Cricetulus griseus: one gene and its partners. The protein of the gene in region 2 interacts with the protein of the main gene of each other region in a biochemical or structural test. Links are inferred from orthologs where the notes say so. Each region holds a gene or a part of one and is shown on either strand. Other genes may lie near its edges.

Evidence for each region.
Region 1: the proteins of Magi1 (region 2) and beta-1 adrenergic receptor interact in a test that uses a peptide from one of them, tested with the Homo sapiens proteins (2 studies listed by IntAct). The link is inferred for Cricetulus griseus from reciprocal best matches to the Homo sapiens genes MAGI1 and ADRB1.
Region 3: the proteins of Magi1 (region 2) and Fchsd2 form a complex in vitro, tested with the Homo sapiens proteins (2 studies listed by BioGRID and IntAct, with this or other methods). The link is inferred for Cricetulus griseus from reciprocal best matches to the Homo sapiens genes MAGI1 and FCHSD2.

What each region holds. Positions count from the first base shown.
Region 1 is NC_048596.1:4,713,393-4,716,820, forward strand, and holds beta-1 adrenergic receptor, read right to left. Parts: upstream 1,962-3,428; coding exon 561-1,961; downstream 1-560. UniProt on the Homo sapiens protein: Beta-adrenergic receptors mediate the catecholamine-induced activation of adenylate cyclase through the action of G proteins. This receptor binds epinephrine and norepinephrine with approximately equal affinity.
Region 2 is NC_048601.1:50,147,672-50,151,317, forward strand, and holds part of Magi1 (membrane-associated guanylate kinase, WW and PDZ domain-containing protein 1), read left to right. Parts: intron 1-1,778; coding exon of another isoform or gene 1,779-1,867; intron 1,868-3,534; coding exon 3,535-3,646. UniProt on the Homo sapiens protein: Plays a role in coupling actin fibers to cell junctions in endothelial cells, via its interaction with AMOTL2 and CDH5. May regulate acid-induced ASIC3 currents by modulating its expression at the cell surface.
Region 3 is NC_048596.1:98,440,874-98,444,619, forward strand, and holds the start of Fchsd2 (F-BAR and double SH3 domains protein 2), read right to left. Parts: upstream 2,397-3,746; 5' UTR 2,084-2,396; coding exon 2,063-2,083; intron 355-2,062; coding exon 257-354; intron 1-256. UniProt on the Homo sapiens protein: Adapter protein that plays a role in endocytosis via clathrin-coated pits. Contributes to the internalization of cell surface receptors, such as integrin ITGB1 and transferrin receptor.

The sequences.
Region 1 (3,428 bases), on a different chromosome or scaffold from region 2:
GAATCAATATGCAATTTCTTTAGAAAGCAAAAGAAAACATTTCCTGGCTAATTATCACCGCTCCCACCAGCACCCCAAACTGGAGCTGACTACTTAGGTTCCTAGATGTGGAACCGGAAGCCAGGTGGTAGACTTCATTCCCCCTTTACCCTCCCCACCTAGTTTCCACTCCGGTCCTTGCAGAAAATGTCAAAACCCATCTGGAAAACAAAACAAAACAAAAAACAAAAGCTAAAGGTGTATCACGAGAACACACAAAAGGCCGAACCCCAGAGAGAAAGGAACCCAAGACAAATCAGAAAGCCACACTCTCCCAACTCCTCCCAAACTTCCCTTTTTGCGCTGCGGACGGTCCGGGGCTTTGCTGTACGTCTGGGATGATTCAGATTCATCTGTGAGTTCACCTGCTTTCGGTCTTGAGTAAACAGAGGTCTCCTCCCTCCTCTGCGGAGCGGCTCAGGGGCGCCCGGCAAGCTCTCTTCCTCTAGGGACGCGGAGCCTGTGTCCAGGCCGGGACCGTGGGGCCGGCGTCCGTGCGCCCGCCGGGAGAGCCTGGCTCTCTACACCTTGGATTCCGAGGAGAAGTCCCGGCGCCCCGGCTCGTCCAGGCTCGAATCGCTGTCCACAGTCGTCACCCCGCCGTTGCAGCCAGCCCAGGGCTCCAGCAGGCGCGCGGGTGCCGTGATCCCCGCATCGTCTTCGTCGTCGTCCGAGGGAGCTCCAGGGGACGGCGGCGGCCCAGCTCCCGCCAGGCAGCCCGAGGCGCGCGGCCGGTCCCCGTGGGATGCGCGGCGTCTGCGGACGGCCCGGCGCGCGCAGCAGAGCAGGCGCTGGAAGGCCTTGCGGAAGTCGGGGCTGCGGCAGTAGATGATGGGGTTGAAGGCCGAGTTGGCGTAGCCCAGCCAGTTAAAGAAGACGAAGAGGCGATCGGGCACCAGGTCGCGGTGGAAGGCCTTCACCACGTTGGCCAGGAAGAAGGGCAGCCAGCAGAGCGTGAACACACCCATGATGATGCCCAGCGTCTTGAGCGCCTTCTGCTCGCGCAGGGCCACGAGGCGCGACGGCCGCCGCTTGCTGGAGCGCCCGTTGGCCAGCGAGTCTGCGGGGCGCGGCGGCCCTGGCGACGGCGAGGGCGCGGGTGAGGGCGGCCGAGCGGGGCCGCCGAGGAAGCGGCGCTCGCAACTGTCGATCTTCTTCACCTGCTTCTGGGCCTCGCGGAACACCCGCAGGTACACGAAGGCCATGATGCACAGGGGCACGTAGAAGGAGACGACGGACGAGGCGATGGCGTAGGCCCGGTTGGTGACGAAATCGCAGCACTTGGGGTCGTTGTAGCAGCGGCGTGCCTCGTCGCTCTCGGCCCGCCACCAGTGCATGAGGATGGGCAGGAAGGACACCAGAGCCGAGATGGCCCACACCGTGCACACGAGGGCCCGCGCTCGCGCGCGCGTCAGCAGGCTCTGGTAGCGGAAGGGCGACGTGATGGCGAGGTAGCGGTCCAGGGCGATGACACACAGGGTCTCGATGCTGGCCGTCACACACAGCACGTCCACCGAAGTCCAGAGCTCGCAGAAGAAGGAGCCGTACTCCCAGCGGCCCCACACCACGATGGTGGCCCCGAAAGGCACCACCAGCAGCCCCATGACCAGGTCGGCGCTGGCCAGGGACATGATGAAGAGGTTGGTGAGCGTCTGCAGCCGCGGGGTCTTGGCGATGGCCACGATCACCAGCACGTTGCCCGCCACGATGAGCAGCACGATGAGCGCCAGCAGGAGGCCCATGCCCGCAGTCCACGGCTGCGACAGCGGCGCTGAGCCCTCGCTGGTGGGAGGCAGCAGCGAGGCGGGCGGCGACGCGAGCACCAGCAGGCGCGCCGCGGTGGCCGCGCCGTCGGGCAGCGGCGCGGCCGACGACAGGTTGCAGGGTTCGGAGGCGCCCAGGGCGAGCGCCCCCGCGCCCATGCCGAGCTGCGGAGGCCGGGGGCGGGGGGTGTGGCGGGGCTGGGCCGCGGCTGGGGAACACCCCAGGAGCCGGGGCTGCGGGGCCCGCGCGGGAGGTCGCGGCCAGGTCAGGGCAGCCGCGGCTCGGGGCCGGAGGCATGGACTCCGAGCGCCTTCTCCGCCGGAGCCGAGCGCTGTCGCCGCCGCCGCCGCCGCCGCTGCTGCTGGAGCCGCTGCCGCTGCTGGAAGAGCCGCCGGGACCTCAGCATGTTTCTGAGCGCGCGGGGCCGACAGCTCCGGCCCCACACCCCACCCCGCTGCCACCCCCCTAGCCAGCCCCGGGGCCGCGCGTCAAGCTCCCGCAGCCAATCGCCGCCAAGGCACGCCCCCGACAACGGTGCCCCCACCCCCCAACACCCGGCACCCCCTCCTACCCGCGATTGAGCCGCTCCAAAGATTCCGGGCGGACTGCGGAGCCAGCATCTCCCCGGCACCCACCGGCTGCAGCGAGCGCGCCCTTTCCGGCTCCGGCAGGCTTCTACCGGAGTCGGGTCTGCTGCGTCCCCGCCCCCTCCAGGGGGTCCCCGCTCGCCCCAGCACCAGCTCTCTTTTTCCCTCGGCGCGGCGCGGCTCCCGCCCTAGCTCTCCTCCTTCCCACCGGCGCCCCGCAGCTCCCGCGCCGCTCTGCCTCCTCTGCCGAGTTCCCTGCAGCGAGGAGGGAATCTTGTTGGCGTTCTCAAGACGCCCAGTGCCTTGAACAGCCTGTCTGCTGGGGTTGGAGGAGTTTAGCTGTGAGACTGGTTCTGCCATCAGGCAGCCTGGCCCTTCCCTGCTCGAGAGGGGACCCGGCCAGCCTGACAGCTTGGGGGGAATGGGAAGTGGGTGTTCGTGGTTAGAGGAAAGTTTCCAGCCAGGCCGGTTGCTGGAGCAGAGCGCGCATCTGTCAGAAAGGCTCTCTGGCTGTTCTCGCTCAGAGCTGTGCTGTCACTCAAGCCCAGTCAATGGAGAAAGGAAGTGAAGGTTTCTGGGTGTTAACAGTCAACGCCAGGGACCAGTTGGACACACACACACACACACACACACACACACACACACACACACACACACACACGCACGCACGCGCGCGCACACGCGCACACGCGCACACGCGCACACGCGCACACGCGCACACGCGCACACGCGCACACGCGCACACGCACACACGCACACATACACACACACACCTCCCAACCCCAGCCAAGGAGAATGACGCCACGGTGTGTGCCGAGTATGAAGGAGAAGTTTGCAACATGCAGTCTAGAGTAGATGACACCACCGCCGCCACCCCGCGTAGAAAGGACACACCGAATGACGCTTCAGAGTTTTTGGCTCTGATTTTAACACCTTGACACCTGCATTTGTGCTCTGTCGCGCCCATTGGGTTTTATAATCCGAGCTGAGTCAACACAAGGAGCTATTCCTTTTGGTTGACGTCATGAACTAGGATTG
Region 2 (3,646 bases):
TTGTTGAACTGTGCCAAACTGTCTCTCAGATCCAATTGTTAGCACAAATGACTACAAAGTCCTTTAAGGAAGCAGGTTGCCTGACTGGTGTTGAGGCACAATATCTAATTGGGCTTGTTTCTTTGTTTGTTTTGCTCTGTTTTGTTTGTTGTTTTGTTTTGTTTTTGTTGTTACTTTACTGCAGAGGTGTGAAATTCTGAGCTATTGGGGGGCTTTGCTCACTTTGTTTAGACTCTGTATACAACAGTTCTCTGTCCCTCTCAACTGGTCTTTACCCCAAGCCAGACCACCTGAGCCCACACTATCAAAAGAACAACAAACAAATGTTGATCTATTAGCCATATGTCTTTAAAAAAGGATGAAATAGATTCCCAGTGCCCATCATGAGGGAAACCTGTTACTATACCTTTCCTATGAGGAAAGCCAGGTGATACGTAGAGTTCCTCTGTCGTATCTTAATCATAGTTTGAGTAGACAGCAATGCTCTTTGCCTAGGTTAGTGTTCTGATGGCAAAATAGTGTATATTGTGATAATTATGTCCTATTTATTTGAGATTCTTGTTTAAAATTTAAAAAGCAAAAAAAAAAAAAAAAAAAAAAAAAAGGAAGCTATGCCCTAGATGTAGGGCTTTTTTTCCCAACCAAAGGTCTACAAAAGTTTCTATAGAAACTGTGATTGAAAGATCCCCATATACATTGGTCCCCTTTATTCGGGATTTATCTGTTATCACCCTCGTTTCTGAAGGTCTTTCTGCACAATTCCCCGATGCATTTTGGGCTCAGTGAGAAGCTCAATTTCAGACATAGTTCAAGGAGGAGAGTGGCTCCTTCGAAGGGCAGCCTTCCCAGGTGTTGAACATTGGAACGGGTGCACAATGGGAGGGGTCTGAGGTAAGGGGGAGGGTGGGTGTCCAATCAGAGGGAACCTTAATGACGACATCAGGTGCCATGGCTGCACACTGTGCTTAACTTCTCTGACCATTAGGTTTATTGATACCACTGAAACTGTGTAACATGTCTCCCTTTTCTGTCTTCCCTATGCTTCTGTTGGATGTGATCTCATTTGAGAGTCATCGTCAGTAACCTGTGTATCTTCTCCAAACCTATGTCTGTTGCACTGAGGATGAAAATCCAACACTAACAAATGTTCCTTGGGCTAAAAATAAAGATCATTGAAATACATGGTTTCCCACAAAGGGTTGAACATGCCAGGGTTGTGCTACTGTAATGTTTCCATGCGTCATTTGGACTAAATCTCTCTAATTCTATTGATTAGAGTTACAAATGGGTTATAATATGTTAAGTTCCAATATTTTTCTGACTTGACTGGAACCTGCTTCTCTGTGAGGCTATTTTTGTAATGAGTTTTTTGTACTTAATTTAACTGCCGCGGTATTGGGGTGGTGGGTGGGGACCTTGTTCTTTTGTTGTTTATTGTTAATGCTCTCCTATGCCAGCCTGTCATTGTTCCAGTTGTTTGAAAAAAAAAATCACAAAAACAAACAAAAAAAAAAAAAAAAACAAAAGGATGCATCATCATCTGGTTTTCAAGTCATCTAACAGCTATCTAAAATCATCACTGTTCCAATTACGGTCTCTGCAGCCTTGGGTGTTGCCTTAGACTGACTGGACAAATAAACTCTCTTTGCCCTATGTTAACAAATGAAGATTTTTTTTCTTTCTTTCTTGTTATAGGGAATCTAAATGTTCAACTTTTTCTCTTTCTCTCTTTCTCCTTCTCTCTGACTGTTCTTGGTGCTGGGCTCTCCCTTCTACAGCGATGATACCTCCTAATATCGCTGCATGTATGAGAAATGAAAAGCTCGGGGAGGCTTGCTTCTACCTTATGGGCCATAATCAAACTACGGTTTGTAGCTAAATCAATACTAGGTGTTTCTGTGCTGTGGCCTAATTTCCTCATTGCTTCTGCTTAGCTCTATTTTGATATGTTTGGCAATTCATTCTGAGCACCCTGCGTTCTTTGAATTGTAAGTACATGGCTAACCCTGTTGAAGTGTTGCTCTCCCTTGTCTCAAGAATAGAATAAGATCATAGGTTAGATTGACAGCTTCTCTCCCCCAAATGTGGAATGCCTTTGTCTTTGTCCCAGTAGCACACTTAGCATTTAGAGAGAATGGGGCTCATCATGGAGCTCTCCCCTGGTGGGTAAGGCTTTGCTGCACAGGAAGAGGACATTTCCTGGTTGAGGTATCTCTCAGCAGACTCCAGCCTGTGAACCAAATCCTGGTTAAAGCCAGTTTTGTAAATAAGGTCTTACTGGCATATAGCACACCCATTTTTAAAAAATGTTTTTGCACCACAGTGGTCAAGTTAAAGAGGGATTGCTGACCCAAAATAAGTGATAGCAGACCCCCTCTCCAGTAAGAAGAACCAAGACTGTGAGGACTCATGCTCTAGGCTCTAGCTCTCCCTCTGTTGAACTCATCCTGGGTTTGGAGAGATCTTTCATTAGACAGACCGTCTGGTTCCTGCTGTCCTGGCTGTCTCTGTGGAAGGTGTTGATAAAACCCAGTATCCCATGTTGCAGCTCAGCAGCTTGGGCACCTAAAACTTGATGGGTTTATCATTGCAACAGAACATCCCACTTTGCAAAGGCTCTCATAAATTCAAGATGCTGCCTTAAATGGCTGTAGTGTCAGTTCAGATAGTTTAATGATGAATGGGACTTGCCATGGGCTGTCCAGCCTTTAGATCTGTAGATGCCTGAGTGAGCTAAGGAGCAGTCCCATGGCCCCACAGCTCTTGCATATTGTTATGGTTGCTTCTCACACCATAAAGAAAGGTGCTTTTAAATGTAGAGATTTTGTAAATCCCAGCTCATCTCAAGCACCTAATAACCCATCCCTCTCACTTTTATCTGGCAGAAAGCTTTTTTTTAATACAGTTCCTTTTTTAAAAAATTTACTTGAAAGTAGAGAAAATAATTAAATGTAAAAGAAGTAGTTTAATGGACCTTCAAGCCTAGATAACCCCCTACTCTGAATCACTTTTTAAAAGTAGAAGTATGGTTTTTTTGTATGACATGCAGATCCTCAGCCAGTTGCCCTGCTTCTTGTTAGATCACCACTCAAATATGCCAGCGACTATTTCTAACCCCCAGAAAGCTTTCCTCATGCCCATCCAAGTCTGTGTCCTAGGTTAATTTTAAGCAGAACAAGTATTCACAAATAAAATGGTATTGGGGGGGAACGGGGAAGGGCTGATGGGTGGCCAAGAAAGAATAGGTGTGGGTCAGGGTACCATAGTTCAGATACCTCTAGATAGACCCTTCCATTATAATGGCCTGTCTTCAGGGTACGGGGAATAGTCAGCTAGATGTTGAAAGCCATACTGCTAGTTTTTAATCTTTACTAGTTGCAGTAATATTTAAATTAACCAAGATTCAGTTGGCTTGGAATCTGCTTTAACAGTTGTTTGTTTTTTGTGACTAATGAGTCAAGTGTGGGAGGGAACCAGGGCCAGGAGCCACAGGACCTTCATGTTAAACTGTTGTCCTATTTCTCTTCCTGGCAGACCCCAGCAGCGACCGGAACGGACCCTCCACCGGTGCACAAGGTGTTCCGGAAGTGAGGCCCGGGCCGCCTGACCGCAGACCGCATCCAGCCTTGGAGTCCAGTTACCCACC
Region 3 (3,746 bases), on a different chromosome or scaffold from region 2:
AAAGATGTAAGAATTTTCAGTTGAGTGATTACAAACTGACAGACTTACTCTTAAAGCCCTGTTTTTCAGTAGTATGTGTACACTGAGGAAAAGTTTGCACTGTGTTAGTTCCAGTTCTAACTTCCAGCTGAGTCAAAATTCTGCAGCCTGAAAGCAGGAAATCCAAAAGGAAATTCCATCATCAGATCCTGGGGCTTGGCAACTCAAAAGTCCTCAGTGGCAGAGACAGTTCTCCAATTCTTTACTGTAATCTTACCTCATATCTTCAAGTAAATCACATTCTGCCTGGTGTTTGGCTTGAAGTTTTGTCATCTGCTCACCTTGAATGTTTTTCAGTTCTTGTGTAACCTTCACCTAAAACACAACATGTACTTATGAAGACTTTTACTACAATTTGAACAAGAAAAATTCCTTAAAGAAAACAGTATTTGTTAGACTGTATACTTCTAGTTTTCCTCTCCATAAAAACTAAAAAATTCATTATTTGCCACTTAGTTTTACTACTTAACTATGATTAATGAAAAAATTTGCCAGAATTTCTAAAACAGGGGCTGACTAAAAATTCAAAAATTACAGTTTAAAGAGTGTAAACTGTCAATTCTGTCTTCTCTTTCTTCCCAAAGACACAGACAGACATTAACCACCAGGAGCAGTGAGCACAGATGAAAGAAAGCATACAGTACCTAATACCTAGCAACTGAAATTTACACAATCATGAAATAATATGCATGAATAAATTACATAAAATATTCCATAATGGCTGCTAGAAAGAACACCGTCTCAGAATGATGCCCTCCACTCTGACAGCGCATCAAATCACAATCTTTTTCTCACAAAGGAGAACGTAAAAGTGACCTTCTAGAATATGCAGGGCTTTTAAACTAACCCAGTAAGCCAGGCCAGGTGGCAGCCCCACTTCAAACAACGAAAACCGCCGAAGCCAGCTGGCCGGAGACTCCCCGGCCAGACCGGACCCCGGGGGTTGCAAATGGTTTTCGAGTATGGTGGAATTCTGGCCACCAGGGCAAAGCGACATGGAGAGGTGGGGTACACGTGCAGGGGGAAGGGGGTGGGGGAATGAGTTAACTGGAGAAATCCAGATTAAGAAAGGGAAAGGAAAGGAAACAAACGTTGAGTTACTCATGTGGCAAATGTTTGCCCACGAGGGGAAGATATAACTGTCTCTACCCACTGCTCAGAGTAGATATCTAGTATCCATCTGAAAGATTTACAAAGACAAGGACACAGCCTTAGCCGCCAGGAAAGGTGGAGAAGGGCGGCGCAGCAGGGTAAGCTGCTGGCAAGCATCGGAGTACGGCCCGTCACTGCCACCCAGGCCATGCAAACCCCGGCCCTAGTGCTCAAGCCACGCATCGCCAGGTTCTGGCTTTCATACTGGAAGCCAGTTTCCCTGGCCCCTTAGCCGGAGGCGGGGCTGGGCGTCCGGGGGGGGGGGGGAGAGCAGGACCCGTCAATCCTTAATTTGCTTTCCCTTGGGGTGGGAGGGAGATGACCGTACCAACTTCTTTTCCGCAGCCCCGTGGGAAAAACAGGCCAAATTTTGGGGCTAGACTTAAAACAACGCCCCCCCCCCCCCGTGTCTCCGCAAATGTGCCAATGGGTGGGGTGTCGACAAGCAACTGGAGGACTCGAACCTGGCTCAGACTAAACAATCCCACACGCACAGGGCTCTGCAAATCTGCAGGGGCTCCCCCCGCCTCCCCTCTGTGCAGCCCCGAGAAAGCACTTTGCACTGGGCAACACTGCCATGCAGACAGACACACATATGCATGCCCGAAAAAACTCTAGCGAATGTCCGGGGCGGAGGGGCGGTAATCCCTAGTGCAGTGGACAAGCACTGGCCGCCCTCCGTCGGAAAGACACCTCACACACTCGACCCCCTGCCTGGAGCAGGCGGCAACTCAGTGACAAGCCAAGAGGCGAGAGCGGTCACGGCCCCTTGCGGGAAGGGGGAGGGGGCGCAGCGGTCGCCCCAGCCGCGTTCTTTGTACGCACCGCCACCCCCCAGATCTCCAAAGCCCCCCGCCAGCGGCGCCCTTACCTTCCTCGGCGGCGGCTGCATGATGCTGAAGGGACATTAATCCTCCGCCCACCCCCGACGGCGGCGTTTAAAGGACTGTGAGGGTGAGGAGGGCTGGAGAAAAGGGGGCGGCCCAGAGAGCCAGGGCGCGCGCGTGTGTGTGTGAAAGGAGAGCCTGAGGAGGAGGAGAACTCGCCCCGGAGACAGCGAGGCAGGAGGACCGCAGCAGCACCCGGGTCGCAGCAGAGTGTGGAGAGAGGGAGGAGGAGCGCCGGGAAGGCCTGGGGCCCGGGCGGCCCGGGGGGTGTGTGAGGGAAGGAGGCGGGGACGGCCAGGGGGCGGGGGCGCGAGCGGGGGCGCTGGGGGGCTCGCGGCTCGCGGGGCTGCTGAGGAGGAGCGGCCGCCGTCGCCGCGCTTGCCGCCTGCCGCGGCTCGGCTGCAGCTGGCTGACGCGGCGGCCCCCCACCCACTCGGGCAACCAGGCCCTCGCGCTGCCCGACGCCCCCGCCCGGCCGGGAAGGAGGAAGGCGGGGCTGCTCTCCCCGCTAGGGCTCCGCCAACCACTCAGGCCGCGGGAATTTCCGGCCCCGGCCCGCGCCACAGCGCCCCGCTCCGGCGGCAGAGGGAAGCGCTTCTGGCCACCGCCTGCTTCAGGGGGAGCGAGGCCGCGCCACGGGGCTCCGGATCTCGGTGTGAGAAGTGGGGGGAAACTTCATGGATTGATCGGCGGAGGAGAAGGACGGAAACGGGAGCGGGGCTCGAAAGATTCCCCCGGCTCTCTCTTAGAGTGGAACGTTCCAGACGCTTCCCACTCTCCCTCCCCCCACACCGAGAAGGCAGCTGGGGGCTTCCCGCGCGCCTTCCCGCCAGCCCGCCGGGGCGCGCGCCTCCTCCCGGGAGCGCGCACGTGGGCGGGAGAGGGTTCTGCGCCGACGCACGCGCACAGGACGCCCCCGCCTCCAGTCTGCGACTGCACTGTTTGTATGGGAATTTCTCAGGAGTAGAGGTTCAATGCTCTAAGTGGGATTATTTGCAAAGAGGAGGTAGTAGCGAGCAGAATTCCTCATGCTGCCTCCTCTCGGTCCCTTAGGTACCCTCCCTCCTAGTGCACTGGGGAAATTGAGCATGAATAAGTCCTTTTACAACTGGCCGCAGGTGCCAGGCCTATGCCATTGGAGGGGGACAGGTGGAAAGAACCTAAAATTTCCAGTCAAAGGCTGGCTCTGAATTACAGAGCATTTAGCCAGAGAACGTAGAGTCGACTGGAAAAGAACGAAAAACTCTTGAGTCCGGCACTCCCCTATCACAGATAGGAAGGCCAGTGTCCGCAGAGAAGTGGAGATGGTGCCAAGGTCACGTGGAATGACTAGACTCCTTGAGTCAGGAGGGTTATGTGGGTTATAAAGAAACAAGCAAGGGCTGAGGTTGGGGAGGTGGACTTTGCTCGGCGTTAGAGTATAGAGGTCCTGGGTTCATGACCAACACGAAAGAGGAAAGAAAGGAAAGGGAATAGGTGAAGAATAAGAACCATAGGGAGACAGCAAGGCCATGGAGGAATCTTTTGACGGAAGCCCTTGTCTGAAATGAGGACTTCTAGGTCAACCCACTTCGTCCTGAACTGGCTGGATGAATTCAGCTTCACCTAACTGACAATGCTCATTCTCAGTAGGGTTCCCTTCAGGCACCATCCTACTCTACCCAGACC